Cricetulus griseus: one gene and its partners. The protein of the gene in region 4 interacts with the protein of the main gene of each other region in a biochemical or structural test. Links are inferred from orthologs where the notes say so. Each region holds a gene or a part of one and is shown on either strand. Other genes may lie near its edges.

Region 1 (3,500 bases), on a different chromosome or scaffold from region 4:
TGTACATACAGATGCCTGGCAATCATGTTCAAGTGGATCTAATTCAGGAGGGCTGGGTGTCACCTGAGATGGCATTTCTAGCAAGTTCCTACAGGACATTGATGCTATTGGTCCATGTTCTAGCAAAGGTCTGTGAGACAGGACTGCACTGGGATGATTTTAAAGCAAATGATCAGTTTATGGTGCCTTCTAGTCCAACAGTTCTACATCTTGGGGAATTGTAAAATGAAAACAAACAGAAAGACCACAGCAAACACTGGCTCTAAAGTAACACTGTTCTCAAGCCCTTCCCTTTCTTTCTGTGAAGACACTGAGCACATAATTAGCTCTTCTCTGCTGCCAATGTGAGAGCTGTTGGTGAGGCATTCCATGTGTGCCGTGATGGCAGGCATCTACGAAAGGTCTGCTTTTGGCATGTTCATATTGAGGCACACAGTCAAACAATGTGGTTATTTTTATAAATGGGCCCTCGTTATGTTGTGTGCATGTTTAGGGGTTCACTGAAATGTCAGGGTCTTTTCTCAAAGTTTCTCCAGCATGGTATGGAACATGGCCCAAACAGCCCTCATATTATGAGAGAAGTAGAAATTATTTTTCCAACCTCATATTCTTTTTTAATTAATTAATCTTACATCCTGGGGGCAGTTTCCCTTTCCTTCTTTCCTCCCAGTCCTTCCCCCATCCTCTCCTTCTGTTCCCACCTCCCCCAGTCCACTCACTCCTCATCTATTTCTGTTTAGGAAAGGACAGGTCTCCCACTGGATATCAACAAAACATGGCATATCAAGTTGCAGTAAGCATCTCCCCATGTGTTAAGGTTGGGCAAGAAAAACTAGTATGAGGAAATAGGGTTCTAAAAGTCAGTAAAAGAGTCAGAGACAATCCCTACTCCTGCTGTTAGGAGTCACACAAGAGGGTCAACCTACCTAACTGTAACATATATGCAGAGGGCCTAGGTCAGTCCCATGCAGGCTCCCTCCAACCTCATAATCTTGAAAAATGAATGCCCCTACTGTCATGGGGGTATCTGTGATGGATGTGCTATGAGATGAGAAAACAGTGGCCGACACTAAATTAATTTTCAAAATATTTTGCTTTGAAAGGTCTCAGCAATAGACCACCTCTCAGAAATGAAGGCAGAAACTTATCCATGCCAGTTCCAAACAGGCCACAGCCTCCATCTCCTGAAGAAGAAGAGGTAATACAGCTGTTTCTAATTTTGTTTGCTTTTCTCCCTAGCAAAGGGACGATAAGAAACTCTCCTAAGCTGCTCTGCTCTATTTGTGCCTTCTGTTAGAGCTTTATTGCCATTTAATTAAGAGGGCAGCTGTATAGCTCAGTGGTCAAATCCTTGCCTAGCATTGGGTGAAGCCCTGCCCTGGATCCACAGCACCACACACAATAAACCAAAAACTGAGGGGAAGATGTAAATGAAAACTAATGTTCTCTTTAGTGTTCTCTCACCGTCTTCCAGGGGCATTAAGAAATGATAAAAAAATAAGCCCAGTTTTTCATGTTTCCTGGCTTATAGCCTTGAATGAATAAGTCTCATAGTTGCTCCACTAAAACAGATTTTTCATTGATTATGTTACTACTATATAATAAGCTGGAGAGTTCGTCTATCTCTGTCTTTCTAGATCAAAGTCTCCATTACATAAGGGAGGCTCCTTCCTTCACAGCTGCTTTTGCAGTCAGTGGCATGCTAAGGAAGCACTTTGCACAAAATGTTTTCCATGCAGCCCCATCTAAAGGACTCAAGTCAAGAAAACAAATGTTCTAAGTCTCGAGAATTGAGGTGGTGATTTATGGGAAATAGTATTTTTTTCCTTTTTGTTTCTTTTCACTTTGCTTATGTAACTATAGAACTCACAGTGCTTTTAAAATTTATTTGCAGATTCCATTAGATGAAGAGTGGTATGTCTCTTATATCACCCGACCAGAGGCAGAAGCTGCTCTTAGAAAGATAAACCAGGTATCATTCTATGCTTTATGTTTATGCAGTTATACATGTTAGTGGAGGAAGGGGAGGGTATTGCTATGCACTGGCACTCAAGTATGAACTAGCTGCTGTTCCCGCTGCTAGGTGCTGTTCCTTTAAGAGCCATTAGTGCTACCATCCTACCCGCTAGCATCCATAGAATGTTTCCTCCAAGCCATCACTATCCGTCAGTTGGCAGATATTAGGCAGTTTCATTAATGAGTGTGTCTCTATTTTTTTGTCAAAGGAATCGTGTATCATTTCAGACATCTTACTAATTTATCTTCCTCTTAACACTTGTTTGCCATTCAAGATCATGAGAAAGACCCATGATGAAAGCATATCTGCAAAGTCTTCTAGAAATTTCTAGTTAGTCTTAATGTTATAAAGTCTTACTCATGTTCCAGTACTAACCCTTAACCCTGAGTTCCTGGGTCAGAGATGAGAGAACAACAACCCTTTAGCCTTTACATTGTTAACGCTACAGCAACCATTTCCAGCCTCAGCAGCCGATTTGGTCATCTGGGGTAGTTTTTTGTTTTTGTTTTGTTTTGTTTTGTTTTAAATTTGGGTTCCTGAGTTTTGAGGCGATTGTGTTAATAAGTGTGGGGTGGGCTGAGAGGGAGTCTTCAGGCTCCGCAGGTGATCCTGAATTCAAGCCAAACCTGTGACTCACTGGTCCAGAGGGAAGTTCCTTTATCAGCTATGTTCTCAATGGCTCAATTAACTATGAGCAAAAGGAACAAAGGAACAGTGCTATTGCATATTGATGGCCATTTAAAACCCATTCTAGTTAAGTACATAGAGGAGGGAGTGATTTACATTGGTCTTTCTAATTAGCTCTATTTTACTATTAGATCTTTGTCATGTTTTATTACATTGAAATAACTCTTGTATGAAATGTAAAATACAGAGCAAATCACATTTTAGAAAGTAAAGGGGAAAGAGGTGACAAGAATATACAAAGTCCACATTCACTTTTGTTCAGGTGTGAGATGGGTAAAAGCTAAACACAGCAAGTGTGTGGGACAAAGGGCAGTGCACTTCACAGGCAAATAATGAGGGTGTAGAAAGGCAAGTTTAGAAAACTAACAGAAGTGAGCAGGTATATGGTAAGTAAGCCTCCTTACTTCTTGTGGCGCATTACTCACCGACTGATTGTTTTTATTACTTAAAAAATGTATAGTAAGAATCTTCAAAAGCAGGGCGGTGATGGCACATGCCTTTAATCCCAGCACTCAGGAGTCAGAGGCAGGTGAATCTCTATGAGTTCAAGGCCAACCTGGTCTACAGAGTGAGTTCCAGGACAGCCAAGGTTACAAAGAGAAGCCCTGTCACTAAAACCAGAACCAAAAGCAACAAAAAGCTCCAAAGATGTTAACTTGCAAATTTCAGATGCAATCCCAGTTGTCTTCCTTAGAAATCAAAAGACCCAGAGTACCTGGGGTCCCCAGCTCTGAGGAGAACTCAGTGTCAATTTACAAGTGATAGCTTTGTCTGCCCCATAGGCTTGTCTCTTAAC
Region 2 (2,926 bases), on a different chromosome or scaffold from region 4:
TGTGGTCTTTCGGGATCCTGCTCTGGGAGATCTTCACACTGGGTGAGCCGCTTCTTCCCTCAGCCCCAAACTATACACCAGACCATCTACCCTCTTGCTTCTACCTCCCTCCTGATTGCTCCTGGGGCTCGAAGCAGGGACTGTGGGACAGACACTGAAACATGAGCAGGGACTCAGGAGCAAGTCCAGGCTCTGCCACTCTTTCCACTGTATGGCTTTGGCAAGTCCTTTGCTGACTCTGGGTCTCTGTCTTCCCATCCAAGCATCAAAGAGGTTAGACATATCGAAAATCATGCTTAAAGCCAGCTATAATAATGAAAATCTGTAATCCCAGTACTTGGAAGTCAGGAAGATGGAAAGTTCGAGGCCAGCTTGGACCACACAAAGACTCCATCTTTGGCAAACAAAACAACATAGACACAAACCCTGCTTGTGTATCTATTGTTTCTCTATTCCCATCTCTACTTCCAATGCCAAGGGCATTGCATTCTCATACACTCCAGGTCAGTTGCCTGAGAAGACACCCTGCCACTTCCCACACCCTGAGACAATAATGTCCCTGTCTCTGTTCCATGACAGGTGGTACCCCTTACCCAGAGCTGCCCATGAATGACCAGTTCTACAATGCCATCAAGAGAGGCTACCGCATGGCCCAGCCTGCTCATGCCTCTGATGAGATGTGAGTGGAACCTTGTATACATGGGAGGAATTTGAGGGTTCAGAGGGCATGCAGCTCTAGCTCAGAGGTTAGACAAGTCCTGCTAGAACTGGATCAAGGTGTTTAAGACGGTGCCATCCGGAAGTTCTGTCCCAGTCAAGGTTTTCACTTTCTCAATGCTGGTTTCAAATCCAAGCCTGTCCTGCTCATGTGGCTGCTGTTAGCACCACCCTGACATCTTAGTGCTTGCATTACTCCAGCCAAAGACCCAGAGCTGACCTTTTAAAAATTTTAAGTGTATGAGTGTTTTGCCTGCATGACTGTGTGTGCATCACATTCATGTCTGATGCCCTCAGAGATCAGAAAAGGGTGTCAGATCCTTTGGAACTAGAGGTACAGACAGCTGTGAGCCAGCATGTGCATGCTGGGAATTGAATCCAACTATTCTGCAAAAGCAACAAGTGCTCTTAATCATTGAACCATCTCTCCAGCCCCACCCAGAACTAAACTTTAAGGGCTCAGTTTGTCACATGCCATCAAAACCAGGCCTGCTCTGGGAGGATGGAAGTCCCTATTGACCAAATTCAGGTCACATGCTCACCGTGGTGTTTTGGGCCACACAGAATCATGTGGGTGAGGGAAGCTGGAAAGACTTCCCAAGGGATCGGTGAGAAACAATGATGGTGTTAACAAGGCCCCAGGGCGCTCCTCCCCAGCATCTCCCCCTTCACTTTACTCTGAGCCCTACTATATGTCTCTAAGGTAGAGACTCTGACCCTCTCTCTGCCTCCCTCAGCTATGAGATCATGCAGAAATGCTGGGAAGAGAAGTTTGAGACTCGACCCCCTTTCTCCCAGCTGGTGCTGCTCTTGGAGAGGCTGCTGGGTGAGGGTTATAAAAAGGTATGTGGAGACAGACAAGGCGGGGTGGGAGACAGTTCTGGTCCAAACGCTGTGCACTGGACTTGCAGTGATGTGCTGGTATTTGGGAGGAAATACTCTTCCCACGTGCTGGGCCTCAGTTTCCTTGCTGGTACTAGAAAGAGTCAGGCCAGAGCTATGAATTTATTTTAATAGAACCAAGATGTGGAAGCTGATGAATTTGACCAAGGGAGGTACAGTCAGTCGGTCGATAACCCTATTGTCAATCCTGTGCACCATGACAACACTGGGGCTGCTCAGAAGTGTGAGCAACCCCAGGCTCTCCTCAACCCTGGCAGCAACTACACTTAAACCTTGTCCCAGGTTCACGCGAGGCCAATGGATCAAGTCTGTCCTGAGCTCAGCTTCTTGCTTCTTCCTATCTGGGGGTGGTGCTAGGGAGATCAATGCAGAATGAAGTCACCACTATTTCACAGCAAGGGACACTGACCCAGTCTCCCAGCAGAAGGCTGTGGGAGACTACAATGGGATAAAGGCCCATATCTGTCTACTCTGAAGTGGGGTAGGAGTTAGGGTCATGGTGCTGGCTGGCTACCTGCCCTTCCCTAGGCGACTCTGAGCATTTATTTGCCTTGTCTTGGGATACCAGGTAGGAAGGCAACTCACTGGTGCAGCTTCAAATAGAACCCCTGTCTCTGTGTACTAGCTGGGGTAGAGGGTCTCTAAGATGTTGCCCATCTCACACCCATGTTTTTCCTTTACTCCCTGCCCTATGGAGCAGAAGTACCAGCAGGTAGATGAGGAGTTTCTGAGAAGTGACCACCCAGCCATCCTGAGGTCTCAAGCTCGCTTGCCAGGGTTCCATAGCCTCCGAGCTCCCCTGGACACTAGCTCTGTCCTCTACACTGCTGTGCAACCCAATGAGGGTGACAATGACTACATCATCCCCTTGCCTGACCCCAAGCCTGACGCTGCCGATGAGGGCCTCCTAGAGGGTTCCCCCAGCCTTGCCAGGTAATCACCCTAACCCTTTGGTCCCAGGCACTCATGTGTATAGTGCATGTGTTTGTGAGTGTGTTTGTGGGTATGTGCTGGACTTGCTACAGAAAGAGTGACATCTAGCTAGAGTGAGGACAAACTCTTTCCAGTGGCCAGCAGAGGCTGGAGTTTATTCAGCTCTTGAAGCTGCAGGCAGGAAGGGCAGATTGGAATGAAACAAGATGATTGGGAACCCATTTGCAAGATAGCTCTTCCTTTTAAGGGTGTAGCCACAAGACCCTTTGCAGGTACTGTGTTAGTCCCTAGGACAGAGAGGAAACATTTAACATTCCCCAGCTGTTAGTGTGGGTCATGGCTGCCATGCCCAGAGCGCTCCAGGGAGCACTGC
Region 3 (4,174 bases), on a different chromosome or scaffold from region 4:
GAACACACTCTCAAAATTTGTTCTCTGACATACACATAAAATTATAAAAGTAAGAGAATATAAAGGGAAAACACAATACCCATGAGGCTTCAAACTCTGTCTCCCCACTATTAGGTGTGTAATCTTGGGTCACTTTAAGAGCTAAAATAATAAACGTTTATTCTCCCTACTTCTCAAAGTTAATAGTAAGTCTGGATAATGGAATACAGAACTATAAAAACCCTATACTGGGGGATTGTATAGCCACAGTGACCATAAAATGCTTCTAAGTAGATCTCTTAACAGAATTACTTTAGGAGCTGGAGAGATGGGTCACTGGTTAAGAACAAGAAGGGTTCAGAGCAGTTGGGCTCCCAGCACCCACAAGGTGATTCACAACCATTTGTAACTCCAGTTTCAGGGGATCTGTTGCTTTCTTCTGACCTGCCTGGTGTGCAGACATACATGTTGGCAAAACAGTCATACACATTTAAAAAAAAAAAGTCTTTACAAGAAAAGATAATTGTTTTACTTTTATGTTGCTCCTAAGGCTGGCCAGAGCAGGAGAGAGGTAGGGTGTGTGTGTGTGCGTGTGCGTGTGCGTGTGCGTGTGTGTGTGTGAGGCGGGGGCGGGGTGGGGATAGACTAAAAAAAATCCACAAGCGAAAAGGCACCCAAACTCGAATAGGCTTTAAAAACCGTGTTTCCAAAGCTAACTACTTCACAAGGAGCCTCTCTACACTCCACTGGCCCAGTTTCCACAAGTCTCAGCAGGAGCTTGGTTGGGCGGAGGTCCACACTGGCCAATAGAATCAGCTGTGTTCTTACAGGTCTCGCAGCAGGTGGAGAAACTGAGCAAGAAAAATTACTTAAACGTGGGCTCAGCCTTGCGCCGTGGTGTGGGGCGCCACAATTGGTCCCCCTCTACTAGCAGGACCGGAGAACAACGTTGGGGGCCGAATTTCTTAATCCTTTCGCCCAGCAATCTCGTTTCGTAGCACTTCCACTGCCCGCCGAAGTGTGCAGGGGGGTGGGGTAACCCCTGTGGTTGTCCTTTATTGTCTAGGGAGCACCTGTCAGGTGGCTGGCCTGTGCCTAAAGCGCGCGTGGCGCCAGGCTTCACAAAGCGCGGGCAGCACCTGCGTGGCCAGGAAGCCGCCTGGGGCAGGAGGACCACCGATGGAGGAAGAATGACGGGAGGAAGAGGATCCGGGATGGATGGCCTGTGGGTGCTCGAGGTCTCAGAGGACACAGCGCCCCCGGGATCAGCATATCCCGAGAGTCCCGGGCACCAGGCAGCGAGAGGGAGCGCGACCCGGGAGGGAGGAGGGAGGGGCGTGGCCGCGCACTGGGGGAGGGCTGGAGGAGGGGCTGTCGCGCGCCGCTAGTGGCTCTGGGGGCTCGGCTTTGCCGCGCTTGGTGCACTTGGGCGAGAGCTGTAGCAGAGAGAGGAGCTCAGAAACTAGCGCAGCCACCGCGATGAGAGGCGCTCGCGGCGCCTGGGATTTGCTCTGCGTCCTGTTTGTCCTGCTCCGTGGCCAGACAGGTGGGAGAGCGCGGCCGACTAGAGGATTGCACCCTCCACCCCGTGGGCACAATCCTGGGTCTGGGAGGGGTGTCACCAGGCGGGGTGCGTCCAGAGTGGTGGCTGTTGGCTTTTCCACTGCCTGTGTGTTACAGCCAGTGCGAAGGTGGCGGGCGGCCGCGGGACTCTGTTGGTCCGCCTCGCTCACCTGCGCCAGGAGCCGGCAGCGGCGGGCGGTGGAGACCCGGAGCCGAGAGTCTTCCGGGAGTCGGGACCGCGGGGCTGCAGGCTGCGGGCTAGTTTGGCGATGCTTTTGTGCGGACTGAGCACGGGTGGCAGTGGCTGGCGGCCTGGGGCTTCGCACCGAGAACGTCCTCTTCCCGTGCGAGGCGCGGCCGCGGCTTCCTTTTGTTAAAAGTTGCGTGTGGGTGACCTGCGCCCGCGAGGATGAGCCCGCGGGTCCCCGGACGCGCGCCGGGCAAAGTTGGAGAGCCTTTTTCTTTTTTTTGCTCTGCGGCCGCTGCTTCCCCACCGCGGGCGGTCTTTGTGTACAGTGCTGGGGACCCAACCGCAGTCGCTCTAGTCGTGCGCAGCGCTACCCGCGGAGACGAATCTCGGGCGTGCTTGTACCCCCTCCCCCTATTTTTTTTTTGCACGGGGGACACGCGGCGCGCGGCTCTGGGGCGGGACCCCGCGAGCCTGTATGTGGCGGCTACGGGGACAACTTGAGCCAGGCGTGTGGCGAGCAGCCGCTAGGTTGCAGACTTTTTCCTTTTGTAAATCTCGTGCTAAAGGCTCGCCCCTCTCTGCAGCCGCACGGTGTACATTGCTGCCACGCGCCGGGGAGCTGCTGCAGCCTACGTTAGCCGCCAGCTCCTGGGAAGGAGGGACCTCGTGCGGGGACGCAGCTGTTCCTTGCCGCCTCGTGCGCACAGTATGAGGGACCAGGCAGCCCGCCCTAGCTTTGGAAACCCCTGGTCTCAGTGTATGAGACTTGTAGTCGCAGGTGGCCGTTTTCTTTGGGAATCCCGAGATCTAGACTCCCCCTCTCACATGATAACCATTCTCTGGCCTCATGGGGTGGGATGGGGCAGAAGAGGTGAACTTCCTGCAAATCCCATTTGTTTCTTCAAGCTGTTACGAAAACCATGGTACCTCTGCACGGGAACTTGGGTCTCAAGGTGGAGGATGTGTAGTCTCCTGGAGCTCCTTAGCCCTGCCCCTTTTTGCCAGGTGTCGCTGGTGGGCTGCCTGTGCGGGTCGCCTGGCTCTGGTCATGAATCTTTGGTCTTTTCCAGGTCGTTTTCAAAACAAAACCCAGAAACCCTTTAAGGTTACCTTGATGCTATAGGCTAGAGAGAATCTGCGCTCTGGAATGAAGCGTCCAAAGGCCAGCAGCGCTGTCTGACCTGTTTGGAGCCCGCTGCTGGCTATGTTTCCCAGATCTCACTCTCCCGATGCTTTTGAAAGGCCCGGGAGGGCTCTGTGTGTGCGTGGTGTGTGTGTGTGTGTGTGTGTGTGTGTGTGTGTGTGTGTGTGTGTGTGTGTGTGTGTGTGTGTGTGTGTGTGTGTGTGTGTGTGTGGTGTGTGTGTGTGTGTGTGTGTGTGTGTGTGTGTGTGTGTGTGTGTTGTGTGTATGTGTGTGTGTTTACATCTAGACCCCTGCCCCAGAGGAGGGGTCACCAGGGAACGCAAATGAGTGTCCAGATTCCTAGGCGTATTTGACTGCTTAGCTGAAAATGACCCCAGCGATCTTTGTGTTTTCCACCTTGTCCTGCTTTAGACCAAGATGGAACACCAGGAAGATCATAGTTCCCCCTTAAAACCTGAAACGTACCAATGGTTTGTATCTTCCTCCTGATTAGTGTGCTCTGACCAATAACTTTGGCAAAGAGAATCTGAAGGTCTGTTGCCTGGCAGGCAGTGTGTCCTAATGACAAACCCTTGTTCTGCCCCACCAGTTTCAGGTCCCCTTTTCATACCTACAGCCTCCTTGGTTATGTGCCCTTGGGCGGGTCATTTAAATTAGGAGGGGTTGGTGCCTTCAGTTTTCCGTGTGTGTGTGTGTGTGTGTGTGTGTGTGTGTGTGTGTGTGTGTGTGTACTGTTCTGGCTTAGCAGGAAGCAGTTTTGTGTTTGTTTACGTTGTGATCTCTTTGGAGGGCTAGCAAGTGCCTGCTCTGTAGTAACCCCTCCTTCTTCCTGGGCATTTGCAGCTTTTACAGCTCAACAGGATGGTCCTGAAACAGTGAATCAGATCTTCCCCCCTTTCCTGCAGGTGCAAGACCCTAGTCATTTATGCACCTGGTCTTGGCTTATGATCCTACTGGAAATAATCTGATAGTTCTGTAATAAAGAGATCTCAGATAATTCACTTTCCCCACCCATCCGTGGATTTCTTTTTTCTTATGACGTTTTAAATCATGCATGCCGTGCTTTTGCAACACGCTTTCTAATGTGCCTTAAATATCGTATCATGGGTGTGCTTTGTGCATACGTGGGGCTTTATAATCAGCAAATGTCTGCCAGACCTCATGCTGAGGGCTTTCCCTGCTGTTTCCCTACTCAGGGAGCCCAGGAGGTTGGACCACTACAGCCTCTACTATTTTCCTATTGGAGACAAGTCACTTGCCCAAAATAATCAGTGAAGAAGCCTGAGCTCAGCTCCATA
Region 4 (4,034 bases):
GTTCCCCAGCAGCCTATGGCTCTCCCAAAGGAAGACACCAATAGGAGTTTCTTGACTCTTCTGTTGGGCAGGTTGTTTTTCCTCTGCTCTTGGCTTGGTAGTGTTTGATTTTTTTTTTTTTGTTTTAATTTATACTGAGGATTACATACACAGGCCGTCATAAGACTTTGGGCCCAGAGCTCTTTTTTTGTTTGTTTGTTTTTTGAGACAGGGTTTCTCTGTGGCTTTGGAGGCTGTTGTCCTGGAACTAGCTCTTGTAGACCAGGCTGGTCTTGAACTCACAGAGATCCTTTGCCTCTGTCTCCTGAGTGCTGGGATTAAAGGCGTGCGCTACCAATGCCCGGCTGGGCTCAGAGCTCTTAAAAGTTACTATCCCTGTGAGCATCTGCTGTATCTGCTGTTGTTAGGAGCTTGGTCACCAACCCTAGCTTCCAGGACACACACACACACACACACACACACACACACACCTGCTCGCTCAGACTCAGGGTAGAGAAAAGAGGCCTGTAAACAGTCTCTGAAAATAGAAGAGGCCCATAATTGGCAATGCTGCCTGAGGTCTTTTTGTGGGGGCTCTCTGCTGTGATAATATCTCCTTTGGACAAGACATCTATTGACTACCGTTCTAAATTTAGGTCCTGAGGGCTGGCAGGCAGTATTTACAAATCATTGGCTTTGAAACTGAACTATTTAGGTCTGAATCGGGTAATTTACTAAGTGTAAGGCCTGCGGGCAATTCCTCAAACTCCCTTAGCCTCCATTTCCTTGTCTGTAAAGTGGGTATAAAGATAGTGCCTGTGTAATGAGGCTGTGGTGAGGAGTAACTCATGGGAGGCCTGCAAATAACATTGTAGCAATGAGTCTGGCATGTGGCAACACTCCATTAAATGACAGTGTCACTGCACACCATCATTATTAGATTGTGCCAAGGAATGCTGAGTAGAAGCAGCTGGTGGAGGAGGAAGAGGTGACCTAATGGCCATGAGGAGTCACATGTGTGGATCTTGGCCTGGAGGGGCTGCGGGGCATAAGCGCGGTCCTTACCTCTTGCTATGTAGAGTGCCATACTCCTGGGCCTTTGATGGCAGACTGTGGGAAGTGGGCCCTCCCCCACCCTGCCACCCTTCTGCTTCTCTTCCCTTGCTCTGAAAAGAGAAGTACAAGTGAGTTCCCCCAAGGGGTCGGCCGCGCCCCTTCCTGTCTCCGCCCTGCTGGCTGCCCCAGGCCAGTAGAGTGGTAGCCTGGTAGCAGGACAGCAGGTTGGGGTTGTAGGAGGCTTAGGCTCCGAGAGCCTTGCTTGAGGCTCAACCCTAGAGTTTTCCCACCTGCCCAGACAGGCTGTTCCCTCCACCTTCTCCGCAGCCAATTCAGCAAGAGCCCCAGGATGGTGAGGTAAGGGCCTGGGGCCCATGGGAGGTAGAAAGGAAGGGTGGCCTGGCGCCCGGGGCACGTTACCTCACCACCCTGTACACCTTCAGGTGGTTTCATCGGGACCTCAGTGGGCCTGATGCCGAGACCCTGCTCAAGGGCCGGGGAGTCCCTGGGAGCTTCCTGGCTCGGCCCAGTCGCAAGAACCAGGGTGACTTCTCCCTCTCAGTCAGGTGAGTGGCCCTCCCGGCGATTTGGCAGCTCATGGCTTGGGTCCTGAGCATTCTTCTGTTCCCTGGGTTGCATTGCCTTCTCATGTTGTCTTGCAGCGGTGTCCCTGCCTGCAGCCCTAGTGTGTCCCCATAACCGTCTGCGTCTACCCCAGTCCTGTGTGCTTTTGCATTCGGGCCCCTTGGCCTGTCCCCCACTCCACTTCTGCTCCTGTACCTGGGGCCTCACTCCCTGGTGCCTTGCAGGGTAGATGACCAGGTGACCCATATTCGGATTCAGAACTCGGGGGACTTCTATGACCTGTACGGAGGGGAGAAGTTTGCAACATTGACGGAGCTGGTGGAGTATTACACTCAGCAGCAGGGCATCCTTCAGGACCGAGATGGCACGATCATCCACCTCAAGTACCCACTGAACTGCTCGGACCCCACCAGCGAGAGGTGAGCCGCGCGCATTGCAGGCTGGCCCGCTCCCTTGAGATCAGTGTAAAGGAGAGGAGCACCCAGCCCAAGTGACCTGCTCAGTCCGTTCCTCATGCCTACTCTGCCACCCCTGTTCTATCTCAGAGCCCTAGCCGCTTTCCTCTCTACCTGATGAGTCCCTTAACTAACCCATCCCCTGTCCCCTGAGGAAGCAAGAGAAGGGCTCCCCTTGCCTTTCTGTAGGGTTCCTGCTGTCTAGCAACCTAGTCCAGAGAGTGACAGTGAGGCCACTCCTTGTGGCTGGTGTTTCCCATCAGGTTGGCCCTATTGCTAGAAAGCTCTTCCTTCTATGGAACTCTGTTGCCTTCCCTCAGCTCTCCACAGTCTGGGCCTTTTAGGTCCCCATGTTAGGAAGGTCTTAGGGATCCCTGTTATTGGGATACTTAGGGCTTTATCTCAACAACACAGTGAGGATGGGGTTGCAGAGCTTGGGTGAAGCAAGGTCATTGATATGGTCACAGGTATAGAGGGGTAAGGACCCAGGCTTACCCGGCTCCAGGAAACACTTGGGATATCCCTCACCAGAGCTGCAAGGACATGGCCCCCATAACTTGGCTGGCTGTTCTTGGGTGGTCTCCCCAGAGCACTTGCAAGGAGAGGCATATAAATAGATGTCCTTCATTACACAGTAACTCATCTTAGCTGTACAGCATAGTGACTGACACAGCTCCTATTGAGGTAAAGGGCATGGAATAACACTAGGGGGTTCTTTCTCATGGACTTCTGGGGCCACGCATACCAACTTGTTCTGGGTTTGTGTATTTACTGTTGAAATGATTCTGAACCTTGACCCCCACCCCCGACTCCAGACCCTCTGCTGGGGCCTGAACTCTGGACCTTGTGCTTATCGGGTATGTGCTTTGCCACTGAGCCACTTCCCAGTGGTTTGTAGTCTTTTTTGAGATTTGTGCCTACAGACTTAGCTCAATATTTTTGTTCAAGTCACCTATTAAAACTTGGAACTGGAGGCCTAAGGTCTGTGGATCAGTTGGCAAAGTGCTTGCATTAAGCCCTGGGTTTGATTCTCTGTATTGCATAAACCTTGAGTGGTGACATATGTCTGCAATCCCAGGAGGAGGCAGGAAGACCACAAGTTCAAATTCGTCCTCAACTACATAGCACTTTTGAGGCTAGCCTGGGCTACGAAACCCTTGACTTAAAAAACTGAAACAAACAAACAAACAAAGGTAGAACTTGAATGATTGGGGTAAAAGCCCCTGTGGTTCACCTCTGGAGATCCCTTTCCAGCCAACACGAAGAGGCTGGTCTACACTTCCTTGAAGGCTTTTCTCCTCTGGTGGTGGATGGAAAGGAAGGGCATGCCTCATGCTCTCTCCTTCCCCCTCCTACCTGCAACACTTAAGGTGGTTTGGCCTCTTGGATGCTCTTTTACCTCCTTGTCTCCCCTTGTTGCTGTCAAGCCAGGATCTGCTGTGTTAGAGGACACGGACTGTGGAGGCATAGCAGAATTGTAGCTGGTATGTTCACTGTGATAGGGGAGGAGGGGGGAGCTGACGGGTGTCAGGGAAGCAGGGTAGGACAGACAGGGGAAGCATGCAACACTACATGGGTGACAGACCACTGAGGGGTTTGGATGACTCCAAGAGGCACTTTGGATGACCCAGAAGCTCAGTTTCATCCCTAACTCTAGGGTGTGCGGAAGCCATGGCCCAATACTCCTTGTGTCCTTGCCCTGCCTCTTCTGGGAAATTTGCATTTGTCCCCTCAGTGGTGAACTCTGCCTGTGGTCAGTTCACATTTGCATGGAGACTTCCTCATCCTGTCCCTGAGGGAAGGAGCTGAGCCCCCTCACATTGCTTGGGGGCCCTGGGCTGTCTCCGAGATAGGCTGGGGTAGCCCAGGACATCTGGGTTGGGGTAGGAGCCTCTGAAGGGCCCTGAGCTATGGTGTCCTCTGGGCAGAGTTGAGAAGGATCAGGACTGAGCCCCACTC
Region 5 (3,500 bases), on a different chromosome or scaffold from region 4:
TAGAAGCAGGTGTGGATTCCCATGGAACTGGAGTTACAGATGGTTTTGAGTCACTGTGTGGTTGCTGGGCATTAAATCCAGGTCCTCTGGAAGAGCAGCCAGTGATCTTAACTGCTGAGCCATCTTTCCAGCCCCAATATATAGCACATTTATTAAGGACCCAAGAGTCTGACTGCCTAGACAGAGTTGGTGCTTTATGCTTGTATGGCTTTGGGCTGATCACATGACTTCTTTATGCTTCAAGTAGTTCTTTTGGATCTGTAAAATAGTGTTAGGGCCAGCAAGTAAAGGTGGTAAAGGTGCTTGCTGACAAGACAAATCCCTGGAATCCACACAACAGAGGTAAAGCACAGACTCCTGCAACTTGTCTTCTGATCAACACACACATGCAATGAGTAAATAAATGTATGTAATTAAAACATAGTGGCACTAATGAAAGCAGCTTCCCTATATGGTCTCTGTGAGGACGGAAGAAACAGTATCTGTCCTGCATTGTTTTTATGTGCTTCAGATTGTTTAGAGTGCAAAACCTGTCACTTGCAGGAAGGGAAACAAACTGCTCATTGGTTAATGAGCTCTGGAAATGGCAAATAGGTTTTGTCATTGGTAGTTTCTTTTCTATCTCTATTCTGAGATAGGGTTTCTCTGTATAGTCCTGGATGCCCTGGAACTCTCTCTGTAGATAGGGCTGGCTTCAAACTCAGATCCACCTGCCTCTACCTCCTAAGTGCTAGGGTTAAAGGTGCACACCACCACCAACTGGCAGGAGTTTTTTTTTTTTATTTTGTATGTGTGCACATGCATATATGCATGCATAGGTGTGTGTGTGTGTGTGTGTGTGTGTGTGTGTGTGTGTGTGTGTGTATGCATTCTGCTGCCTAAGGAGGCCAGAAGAGAGCATCACAGTCCCTGGAGCTATAGTTACAGGTGGTCCCTTGACATGGGTGCTGGGATACGAACTTGGGTCTTCTGGAAAAGCAAGTACTCTTAAGACTGTGAGCCAACTCTCCAGTCTCAGGATTGTCATTCTTGTACAGGGTTTTGTTTTTATTAATTTACTCTTTGCCTTTTGAGACAGGGTTTTACTATGTAGCATTGGATGCCCCAGAACTCTTTACATAGACTAGCCTGACTTTAAACTTGTAGAGAGCCTCCTGCCTCTGCTTCCTGGGTGCTGGGATTAAAGGTATGTACCATCTTTACCCAGATGAAACCTCATTTTGATAATGGACACTGAGAAAAGCAGAGTTTATGACTTGGGGATGTTCCTAAATGCCCCAGGGATGGCCAGGTGGTGGTGGCGCACGCCTTTAATCCCAGCACTCGGGAGGCAGAGGCCTGTGGATCTCTGTGAGTTCAAGGCCAGTCTGGTCTACGGAGCTAGTTCCAGGGCAGCTAGGGGCTGTTACACAGAGAAACCTTGTCTAGAAAAACAAAGCAAGCAAACGAGACTGAGGCGTCTAGATGTCTGTATGGAGGATCTAAAGACGGTCTGTGGTAGAGTGAGAAAGCCATGTCTGTGGGGAGGAGATACAGGCGTGGCTCGTGCAGAGCTTTGGCTGTTGTGGAACTGGGGCTCTACCTTACCCCAGAGCAGGAAGCCTTTGGCTCCTCCTTTGGCTCCCCATCCTAACCCTCTGGAAAAGGCTGTCTCATATGCTAAGAATCCGGCCCCCACATGCGGGCGAGCACATACTCTTTCTCAGTCCTTATTCTTCCTTGCCACTGTCAGTCACTGCTTCCAGATCCTAGATGGAGCAGAAGGCTCTAGGGACTTCCTCCCGGGCAATTTAGATCTCCAACTCTTGCTTTTGCTCATAGGGAGCCTAGTAGATTTTCTCAAGACTCCCTCAGGCATCAAACTGAACATCAACAAGCTGTTGGACATGGCAGCACAGGTGAGGAGGATGAAAAAGGGCTGGGTCTGGCTGCAGCTCAGTTGGCCTAAGACTGATGACCTATTCCTGGCCTGCAGATTGCAGAGGGCATGGCATTCATTGAAGAGCAAAATTACATCCATCGCGACCTTCGGGCTGCCAACATCCTGGTGTCCGACACATTGAGCTGCAAGATTGCGGACTTTGGCCTGGCACGTCTCATTGAGGACAATGAGTACACAGCCAGGGAGGGTAGGTGCAGGAAAAAGAGGAGGTTCAGAGTCTGCAGCAGAGCAAACATACACAGGTGACCTCACTTTGCCTCCCTCTAGGGGCCAAATTTCCCATTAAATGGACAGCACCAGAAGCCATTAACTATGGGACCTTCACCATCAAGTCCGATGTGTGGTCTTTCGGGATCTTGCTGACAGAGATCGTCACCCATGGCAGAATCCCTTACCCAGGTGAGCATTAAGGGAAGGAACTCTGAGGGCTATAAGGAAGGGCAGCAAATCCCCACTCACTTCTTCCCTGGCTCAAACCCTGAAATTTCTAGTTGCTTCTCTTCCATCCCCTTGGGCTTGTGACTCCAGCAACCCCTATTAGATGCTTCGTCTCCCAGCACTGACTTCCATCTCTATCTCTGAGACCCCTCATCTCTCAAAAACTCTAGCTCCTTACTCAGTTCTGGTAAAGATCACCTAGTGTGACAGGAATGGGTCTGGCTCAGGGTATAAAAGTTCCTTTTCTTTTTTTTTTTATTAATTGCTTTTTTAAAAAGATTTTAAAAATTTATTTATTTATTATGTATACAACATTCTGCTTCCATGTATAGCTTCACAGCAGAAGAGGGTATCAGATCTCATTACAGATGGTTGTGAACCACCATGTGGTTGCTGGGAATTGAACTCAGGACCACTGAAAGAACAGTCCGTGCTCTTAACCTCTGAGCCATCTCTTCAGCCCCTTTTTCTAAGATTTTATTTATTTATTATGAATACAGTCTATACAGTCTTCTACCTGCATGCCAGCAGAGGGATCTCATTCAAGGTGGTTGTGAGCCACCATGTGGTTGCTGGGAATTTAACTCAGGACCTTTGGAAGAACAGTCAGTGCTCTTAACCGCTGAGCCATCTCTCCAGCCCAAAAGTTCCTTTTCTTACCAGCTGGGCCTCCGATAGATTTCTGTTTGACTTTTACCAGACCATTCCTTTTTTTTTTTTTTTTTTCTTTTTTCAGAGTAACTTAGTCCTGGCTGTCCTAGAATTTACTCTGTAGACCAGGCTGACCTTGAACTCTTAGAGAACCATCTGCCTCTGTGCCCCCAGTGCTGGGTTAAAGGTGTGCACCACCAATGCCCAGATTCTTGTTTCTTAAATAGGAGATCAGGACAGTGCTTAGGCCACACTAAACCATTACTCATCATTACTCAGCTGTACCAGTCCCAAATCATGACACAAAGATTTCTTATTAGTTATGAATGTTCAGCCTAGCCTTGGTTCCTTTCTGGCTAGATTTTTTTACTTAGATTAACCTATTTCTTGTTATCTACCTTTTGCCTAGGGGCTTTTTTACCTTCCTTCCTTCCTTTCTTCCTTCCTTCCTTTCTTTCTTTCTTTCTTT
Region 6 (3,500 bases), on a different chromosome or scaffold from region 4:
TGGGTCTGTGCTGCTCACAAGTGAGATGCCGAGGTGAGCAAATGATGGGAGAAATTTTTACCTCCTGACTGAAAGGGAGCTCACTCCCTCTGTGTTCATGGGGGGGGAGGGGTTCCTGGCCCTGCAGGTTAACAAAACCCTCTGGCGTTCAAGTTCCTTCTATAAAATGGCACAGGGACTGGGGACACAGCTCAGTGTATAAAGTGTCTGTGTCCAAGTGTGAGGACCTGAGTGTGGGTCACCAACAGCTATATAAAAGGCAGATACGGCCGGACCTATCTGTCCAGCACTGGGGGGTGGACACACGTGACTCCCATGGGACTTGCTGGCTGCCAGTAAAGCAGAAGTGGTGTGATTAGGTTTAGGAAGGCATTTTGCCTCAAATAATAAAGTGGAAAGGTCCAGTGAGGTGGTTCGGTGGGCAGAGGCACTTGCTATCAAACCAAAGGGCCTGAATCTGATCCTCAGTACCCACACAGTAGGAGAGAACTGAGTCCCAAAAGTTTCTTCTGACCTTCACATATGTTCTGGGGCACACTCTAATACTTGCATATACATGTACTTACACACACACACACACACACACACACACACACACACACACACACACACAGAGAGAGAGAGAGAGAGAGAGAGAGAGAGAGAGGCAAAAGAGTAAATGAAGAAACAACAAGGTGGAGAGTGATGGAAGAAGACACCCAAGTCAGCTGTGGCCTCCACATGCACATGCACGGGCGAGCACACTTGCACGCACACACACATGCACACAAACCTGCACCCACTGCGCACAGGGATCAGTCTCTGCACATAATTCTGACATTTTAAAATCACCTTTAGGATTCTCGTAGTACCTGAGGTTGAAGGCGCAGGGATTGAAGGCAGGAAAAACATGCTCACACCAGACACAATTAAAAAAAAATAACCTAGGAAACCTGCTGGTGCAGAGTCTGTGGGAATCTCAGGGCCAGGAATTCCTCCCAGGGCAGAGCTCTGTAGAGCTGACTGGTCTCAAGCTCATCTTTCTAACAGGGAGCATCTCCTATCTCGGTGGCACCAGAAGGCTTCGGCACAGTGGCTGGGACCCTCCCTGACAGGCGCCTCTGGACATGCCTAGTGGCTCCTGGTGCTGTCACCACGCACACAGTGTCCCGCTCAGCAGCTGTTAGGCAAAGCAAAGCACACTGCCCCTAAGAATGGGGTGGGGCTTCTGACCCTGTGGGCGGAGCAGTCTGAGTGTGGCGGGTGGCAGCCCTGCCCCACTGTGTGGGGACTTCTAGCCCTGAGTTGCCTGTGGTCATCAGGAGCTTCTAGACTGGGTGTGAGGCTCTGGGGAAGCAGGGATACGCTCAGACACTGTCAGAGGCAGGGGCTGTTCTGGATGCTTGAGATGCCATGTGGGACTCTGTGATTTCCTCGAGTCCACATTACGGTCTCATAAAATCCCAACAGCTCTGCAGCATAACTCTGCAGCTGTCCTAAGTATGTTCTACTATGTTCCCACAGCTGCAAAATGCATATATGACTGTCCCTGCCTCAAAGAGACATGATTGGATAGTAAAACAGTCGATCTCTGGCCCCACCTCCTGCCATCACTTACGTAGAAGGCAGTGCATTCCTGATACATCAAAAAAAAATTCATACTTCATTTTAATACTCAGTGTGATGGCTAAAGACACTCCATTTTATGCTATGCATCCATCTTGGTACCCACCAGCTGTTTGTCACTGACTCCAGTCCCTGGAAGATAAGTTCCCAGTCACCCCGACTCTGTCACCCTATCCAAAGATGTACAGGAATGGCTGTCTACTTGTTATGATATGACCAGCTGCTTTTTGGCTTCTGTAACTTGCTTATGCAGATACCTAAAGAGTGTCTTGAGTTGCCTTAACCACTGAACTTGACAAAAAAGACCAGATTTTGCTTGCTTGCGTAGATATGAAGGTCTTCTTGTGGTTTTTGTCTTGAAAAAAGAAAGAAAGAAAGAAAGAAAGAAAGAAAGAAAGAAAGAAAGAAAGAAAGAAAGAACCTTCTCCACCCCCCCACCCCTCAGTCCACTTCATTGCCTTCTCAAATTTGGCTCCTAGATTGTTTGTCCCAGAGCAGCTAATCAATAAGTCTTTTAATTACAATTGGATTAGGTCTGTGTGGTCCTTTCCCAGGGGTCACAAACACCATGACACCAGCTGTGAAGGGCAGTTTTAATTGTCAACTTGACACAGTCTGGAACCACCTGGGAAGACAGTCTCAATGTTGTCTGGAACAGGCGGGCCTATGGGGGATTGTCTTGGTCATGTTATTTGATGTGAAGACCCAGGCCACCATGGGTTACCGTCCTTGGGTCAGGGAATCCTGGCCCTTCCCAGAAAGGAGTGAGACGAGCACCAAAAGCACGCACAACAGCCTTTCTCTCAGCTCTCCACTGCGCTGATGCGACCAAATGTTTTCAGTTCCTGCCGCCATGACCTCCTTGTGATCAGGGACTGTAATTTGGAGTTCTGACGTAAAATAGATCCCTTGCCCCTATGTTAGCTTTTAGCAGAGACATTTTATCACATCAACAGAAATAACTAGGACACTAGCCACACCATCTACTCCTATAAACCGCCGGGTCATTGGCGGCAAGGGTTTGGTACTCACTCGTACGTCCAGCAAAGGTTCATGAGGTCGTACATCTCTCTGGGGCACCCTGGAGGGCACCCCATACGCTCCCCTTTCTCCAGCATGGCAGTCACTTCACTCCCTTTCATCCCCTGAGACATGGAAATGCACACAAACTCTTCAAACATAGGCCAACAAACAAAAGTACCTCACCCCCAGAGACAGAGGGACACAGACACAGGCTGTGCAATTTCAGGTGACATCTGTCACAATGCTAGGGGCCCTTCCTCTGGACTCCTAGAGTCAGATGTGACTGCCCAGTGTGAAGGGCTGGATGTGTTGGGGAGAAGGCGGGCTTTGGGGTTTCTGCTCTGATTCTTCATTTAGGGATTGGCTTTGTGGGATGCAGGGCTTTTATTCGCGACAATCTGTTGAGTGGCACTGTAGGACCTGCTTACATGCAGGAAAGTGTGCACACGTGCACACACACAAGCACACACATAGCAACGGCTAAAATAGTTGACGCTGTCACTGGCACCATTTCTATTTTAACTCTCAAGAAGGATGGTCTGGGGCCATGTCTGCTGAGTGTACCTAACACACAGTGGAAACGCGTTCACTTAGCATCATGTCATGCCCAGGTTACCGTAAGCTGAGGCTGCACTAACTGCCCGCCGTTAGAGGGTGATGAGAGACCCCGGGGTGTCCCCAGGTTCCTGTGTCAACGATCTACACTGAGTGATGCTTTCCTAAGGCACGCGGCTGAGACGTCAGACACACAGCTGAGCACGGCTCACTCTGTAAGGCTTCTGCCCGTAGGAGAACGCTTCCCACATCAGGACCCCGAAGCTCCAGACGTCACTCTTGCTGGAGAACTTGTAGTAGTTAATACATTCAGGGGC
Region 7 (3,500 bases), on a different chromosome or scaffold from region 4:
TTGAGAACGCCAGGAAGGACGGGCAAAATGGCTTACTGGATAAAGGTGCTTGCTGCCAAGCCTGACGACCTGAGTTCAGTCCCTGTGACCCACGTGGTAGAAACAGAGGAACAACTCCTACAAATTGTCCTCTGACCTTCATATTCATTACACACACACACATACACACACACAGGGCCTGGAGAGATTACACAGTGTTTATGGGCACTTGCTGTTTTTGCAGAGGACCTGGGTTCAGTTCCCAGTGCCCACATCGTGCCTGGCTGGTGAACCTGCAGGCAGGCAGGTGCCACGAAACCTAGCTCTTCCGCGTCCATTCTCTTATTCCTCCTGTTCCTTTCTCCTCATTGCTCCCCACTTCTTCTTCCCCTTCTCCTTTGAGACAGGACAGGGTTATACTATGTAGCCCAGGCTAGCCTCGAACTTGCGATCTCCCTGCCTGCCCTCCCAGGTGTGGAATTGCAGGTGTGTTCCACCATACCCAGCTATTATATCATTATTTTGCTTATACTGCCCTAGTGCTGGGAATTGAACCTGAGACCTTACACATGCTAGGCAAATGCTCTACCACTGGGCTACATCCCCATCTAACTACCATAGTTCTTCTCCTCCCGTGTTACCAAATGCACACACACACAGACAGGCATTGCCTGGTAACCTTATAGGAGCCCCTTAATGGTAAATCAGGCAGACATTTGAAATCATGATCTCGATGGAGAAAGCCAAGCCCAAAATTTGGGTTGTTGTTTCTGTTTTATTTGGATTGTTTTTCTCTGTTGTTCTAGAAATGCTGTCTAAGCCTAGGATATTTCATGATGCCAAGGCTGAGATCATAAAAGGACATGCCATAACCATCAGCTGCCAGTCTGTAAATGGAACTGCACCTGTCACTTACCACCTTATAAAAGACACAAATGTCTTCCTGGATCGCATGGTGACCTCCAATGACCCAGCAGCATTCACAGATGAGCCCATCGAAGATGTGGAATACCAGTGCATGGCGAACAACTGCCATTCCCACCCTCAGTTGTACAGCGAGACCCTGAGGGTCAAGGTGATAGGTAAGCAAGAAGGGCAGGGCTTTAACAGGCTGGAAGGTTTGATGTCAATTAGGGGTTGTGGGGATAACAGGGATGGTACCTGTGTATCTCACACAGCCAATCAAAGCAGAACTAAGCCCCCACAAACGGCTCTGAGAAAGACGGGGGCTCTTGGCATGGCCATTGTAATTCCTTTTGATCTTTCAAGTGACCCTTGAATCTCCTGAAAAGGGAAGGTGGCTGGTCTTAAGGAACTGCTGATATTGTGTATTTGGGGTTTCTTGGTTTTGTACCTTTTCACAAGAGCTGCAGGCCGGAACTCTTTTCTGCCATTGACCTTGGTGGAACATCAGGGTCACACAGGGAAACTTTTGGCAGACACTGGTTCACGGGAACCGCCTGGGATCCTCACCTTGGTCTTGGGGACAGAGAGCTTTCCCTCAGTGTCTGACCTGTGCCTTTGAGTGGCCTTTGCAGTGCCTCTGCTTACCTTGCTCTGAATCCTGTTGATAGACCCTTAGCCACCCTTCCTTCTCTTGTCATTTGTCACCTTTTGTTTAACAACTCTGTGTCATCAATGTACAGTGTATAAAAGCATACGGTCTACATGCGCTGGTGAGGGCAAGACTTGTCCACAGGGGAGAGGCAATGGATGACTACGACAGGCCTATAATCCCAGTACTTCTAGGTAGAGGCAGGGGGATCAGTAGTTCAAGGTTATCCTTAGCTGCATAGTGAGATCAAGGCCAGCTTGGGATACATAATACCCGAGTCTCAGTGGACAAGAGAGGGAAGAGGGGTGCGGTAAGAGTGGGTTTGGGGAACCTGCTTGCTGTGCATTCAGCTGGTGTTGAGGAGTGGAGACTTCCCACCTCCAGATGTTAAGAAGTCAGTGTGAACACCCAGGAGGAAGCCATGAGTTGAAATGGTTTAAATTGGGTCTGTATTAGTGGCTAGCATTTACTGAGCCCTCCTCAGATGTCCAGGCCTGGTGAAGCATTGTAGCAAATTATCCCTAGTAATACTCAAAATAGCACATGAGACTCATCATAGTTTACCCTTGGATTTGCAATGAAGTTGCTAAGACTTAGAGCAAATACAGGGTAGGTGGTAGGCTTGGGATCTGAGCCCAGGCAGTCTGGCTCTTGAGACCAATTCACCACTAATCCCTTCTTCCCCGTGGCAATGTGCTCAGGCTGTCCCCGTGTGGGACCGCGGCCATCCCAGGTCAGATGCTTAGCTTCCTTTAGATCTCATACCACCCTTTGCGTTGAGAGGTGACTCACGTCTGTTGGCCAGTCCACTGTCACTAGTAGGGAATGTGGCCTGAATGGTTAAGAATGCTGCTGAGGAAAAGGGCCCAGTGGGGGGCACAGCACTTTTGGCTTTCTAAGTCTCCAGGTGGGAAGGGAGCCTCGGGTTCCGGGAAGCTGTCTGGACAGGAAGCTTCAGTTTAGGTTTCAGTGCTCAGAAATAAAAGCTGAGTATGGAGGTGAAACTCCCATGAGTGGAGATGGAGAGCCTGGCGAGATGACTCGGCAGGTGGAGGTGCCCGCCCAGCCTGATGACCTGAGGTCAATCCCTGGGACCCCACATGGTGGAAGGGGGTCTCACAAATTGTTCTCCGACTTCCACACCCACTGTGGCACGTGCACACCTGTGCACAGAATAAATAGATCAAAATGGTTTATTTTGGTGGGGGGGTGTTTCGAGACAGGGTTTCTCTATGGCTTTGGAGGCTGTCCTAGAACTAGCTCTTGTAGACCAGGCTAGTCTCTAACTCACAGACATCCGCCTGCCTCTGCCTCCCGAGTACTGGGATTAAAGTCGTGCAACACCACCACCTGGCAAGCTCAAAATGTTATTTTTTAAAAAGAGTGGAGTTGGAAGACTGAGGGCCAACTTTCCAGAAAGTCCATATTTCACTGTCAAAACAAATAGTAATGGAGACGATAAGGGAGGAGAGTTAGCTTCGGAAACAGCACAGCTGGGGAAACCATGTCAACAGGAGGAGCTGGTGACAGTCTGAATGTAGGAGGCTAGAACCAGGAAACTGCATGAGGAACGAATGACCACCCTCTCCATTGAACTTACTCTGCTGGGCCCTGAACTCTGGGCCAAGTGACTTTTCCAGTTTCTTTGAGACTAGAGATAACAACACAGTTTCAAAAGCAGATGAGTGTCTGGGGCTGGTGGCACACACCTGTAATCTGACACAGGAAGATCTGGAGGTCATGGCCAGTTTCATGAGACTCTGTCTTAAAAAACAAAATAAAATAAGGGCAGATCGTGGTAGTGCACACCTTTAATTTCAGCACTTAGGAGGTAGAGGCCAGCAGATTTCTGAGTTCAAGGCCAGCCTGGTCTACATGGTGAGTTTGAAGCCAGCCAGGGCTACATAATGAGACCTTATCTCAAATAAATAAATGAGCAAATTAAACTGCGAGGTGGTGGTGGTGC

What was found.
Region 1: the proteins of Ptpn6 (region 4) and Lcp2 form a complex in vitro, tested with the Homo sapiens proteins (2 studies listed by BioGRID). The link is inferred for Cricetulus griseus from reciprocal best matches to the Homo sapiens genes PTPN6 and LCP2.
Region 2: the proteins of Ptpn6 (region 4) and Pdgfrb form a complex in vitro, tested with the Homo sapiens proteins (2 studies listed by BioGRID and IntAct, with this or other methods). The link is inferred for Cricetulus griseus from reciprocal best matches to the Homo sapiens genes PTPN6 and PDGFRB.
Region 3: the proteins of Ptpn6 (region 4) and Kit form a complex in vitro, tested with the Homo sapiens proteins (2 studies listed by BioGRID). The link is inferred for Cricetulus griseus from reciprocal best matches to the Homo sapiens genes PTPN6 and KIT.
Region 5: of the proteins of Ptpn6 (region 4) and Lck, one has a biochemical effect on the other in vitro, tested with the Homo sapiens proteins (4 studies listed by BioGRID and IntAct, with this or other methods). The link is inferred for Cricetulus griseus from reciprocal best matches to the Homo sapiens genes PTPN6 and LCK.
Region 6: of the proteins of Ptpn6 (region 4) and Syk, one has a biochemical effect on the other in vitro, tested with the Homo sapiens proteins (2 studies listed by BioGRID). The link is inferred for Cricetulus griseus from reciprocal best matches to the Homo sapiens genes PTPN6 and SYK.
Region 7: the proteins of Ptpn6 (region 4) and Pecam1 form a complex in vitro, tested with the Homo sapiens proteins (2 studies listed by BioGRID, with this or other methods). The link is inferred for Cricetulus griseus from reciprocal best matches to the Homo sapiens genes PTPN6 and PECAM1.

The regions. Positions count from the first base shown.
Region 1 is NC_048600.1:49,261,998-49,265,497, forward strand, and holds part of Lcp2 (lymphocyte cytosolic protein 2), read left to right. Parts: intron 1-1,103; coding exon 1,104-1,198; intron 1,199-1,894; coding exon 1,895-1,972; intron 1,973-3,500. UniProt on the Homo sapiens protein: Adapter protein primarily involved in signaling pathways within T-cells, as well as other immune cells such as platelets, mast cells, and natural killer (NK) cells.
Region 2 is NC_048595.1:178,023,405-178,026,330, reverse strand, and holds part of Pdgfrb (platelet-derived growth factor receptor beta), read left to right. Parts: coding exon 1-42; intron 43-579; coding exon 580-679; intron 680-1,454; coding exon 1,455-1,560; intron 1,561-2,320; coding exon 2,321-2,553; intron 2,554-2,926. UniProt on the Homo sapiens protein: Tyrosine-protein kinase that acts as a cell-surface receptor for homodimeric PDGFB and PDGFD and for heterodimers formed by PDGFA and PDGFB, and plays an essential role in the regulation of embryonic development, cell proliferation, survival, differentiation, chemotaxis and migration.
Region 3 is NW_023276807.1:142,062,712-142,066,885, forward strand, and holds the start of Kit (mast/stem cell growth factor receptor Kit), read left to right. Parts: upstream 1-1,374; 5' UTR 1,375-1,458; coding exon 1,459-1,525; intron 1,526-4,174. UniProt on the Homo sapiens protein: Tyrosine-protein kinase that acts as a cell-surface receptor for the cytokine KITLG/SCF and plays an essential role in the regulation of cell survival and proliferation, hematopoiesis, stem cell maintenance, gametogenesis, mast cell development, migration and function, and in melanogenesis.
Region 4 is NC_048601.1:21,673,076-21,677,109, forward strand, and holds the start of Ptpn6 (tyrosine-protein phosphatase non-receptor type 6), read left to right. Parts: upstream 1-1,234; 5' UTR 1,235-1,384; coding exon 1,385-1,392; intron 1,393-1,478; coding exon 1,479-1,601; intron 1,602-1,844; coding exon 1,845-2,039; intron 2,040-4,034. UniProt on the Homo sapiens protein: Tyrosine phosphatase enzyme that plays important roles in controlling immune signaling pathways and fundamental physiological processes such as hematopoiesis.
Region 5 is NC_048595.1:23,482,550-23,486,049, forward strand, and holds part of Lck (tyrosine-protein kinase Lck), read left to right. Parts: intron 1-1,821; coding exon 1,822-1,898; intron 1,899-1,975; coding exon 1,976-2,129; intron 2,130-2,209; coding exon 2,210-2,341; intron 2,342-3,500. UniProt on the Homo sapiens protein: Non-receptor tyrosine-protein kinase that plays an essential role in the selection and maturation of developing T-cells in the thymus and in the function of mature T-cells. Plays a key role in T-cell antigen receptor (TCR)-linked signal transduction pathways.
Region 6 is NC_048596.1:271,576,977-271,580,476, reverse strand, and holds part of Syk (tyrosine-protein kinase SYK), read right to left. Parts: coding exon 3,396-3,500; intron 2,751-3,395; coding exon 2,638-2,750; intron 1-2,637. UniProt on the Homo sapiens protein: Non-receptor tyrosine kinase which mediates signal transduction downstream of a variety of transmembrane receptors including classical immunoreceptors like the B-cell receptor (BCR).
Region 7 is NC_048600.1:119,627,657-119,631,156, reverse strand, and holds part of Pecam1 (platelet endothelial cell adhesion molecule), read left to right. Parts: intron 1-785; coding exon 786-1,061; intron 1,062-3,500. UniProt on the Homo sapiens protein: Cell adhesion molecule which is required for leukocyte transendothelial migration (TEM) under most inflammatory conditions.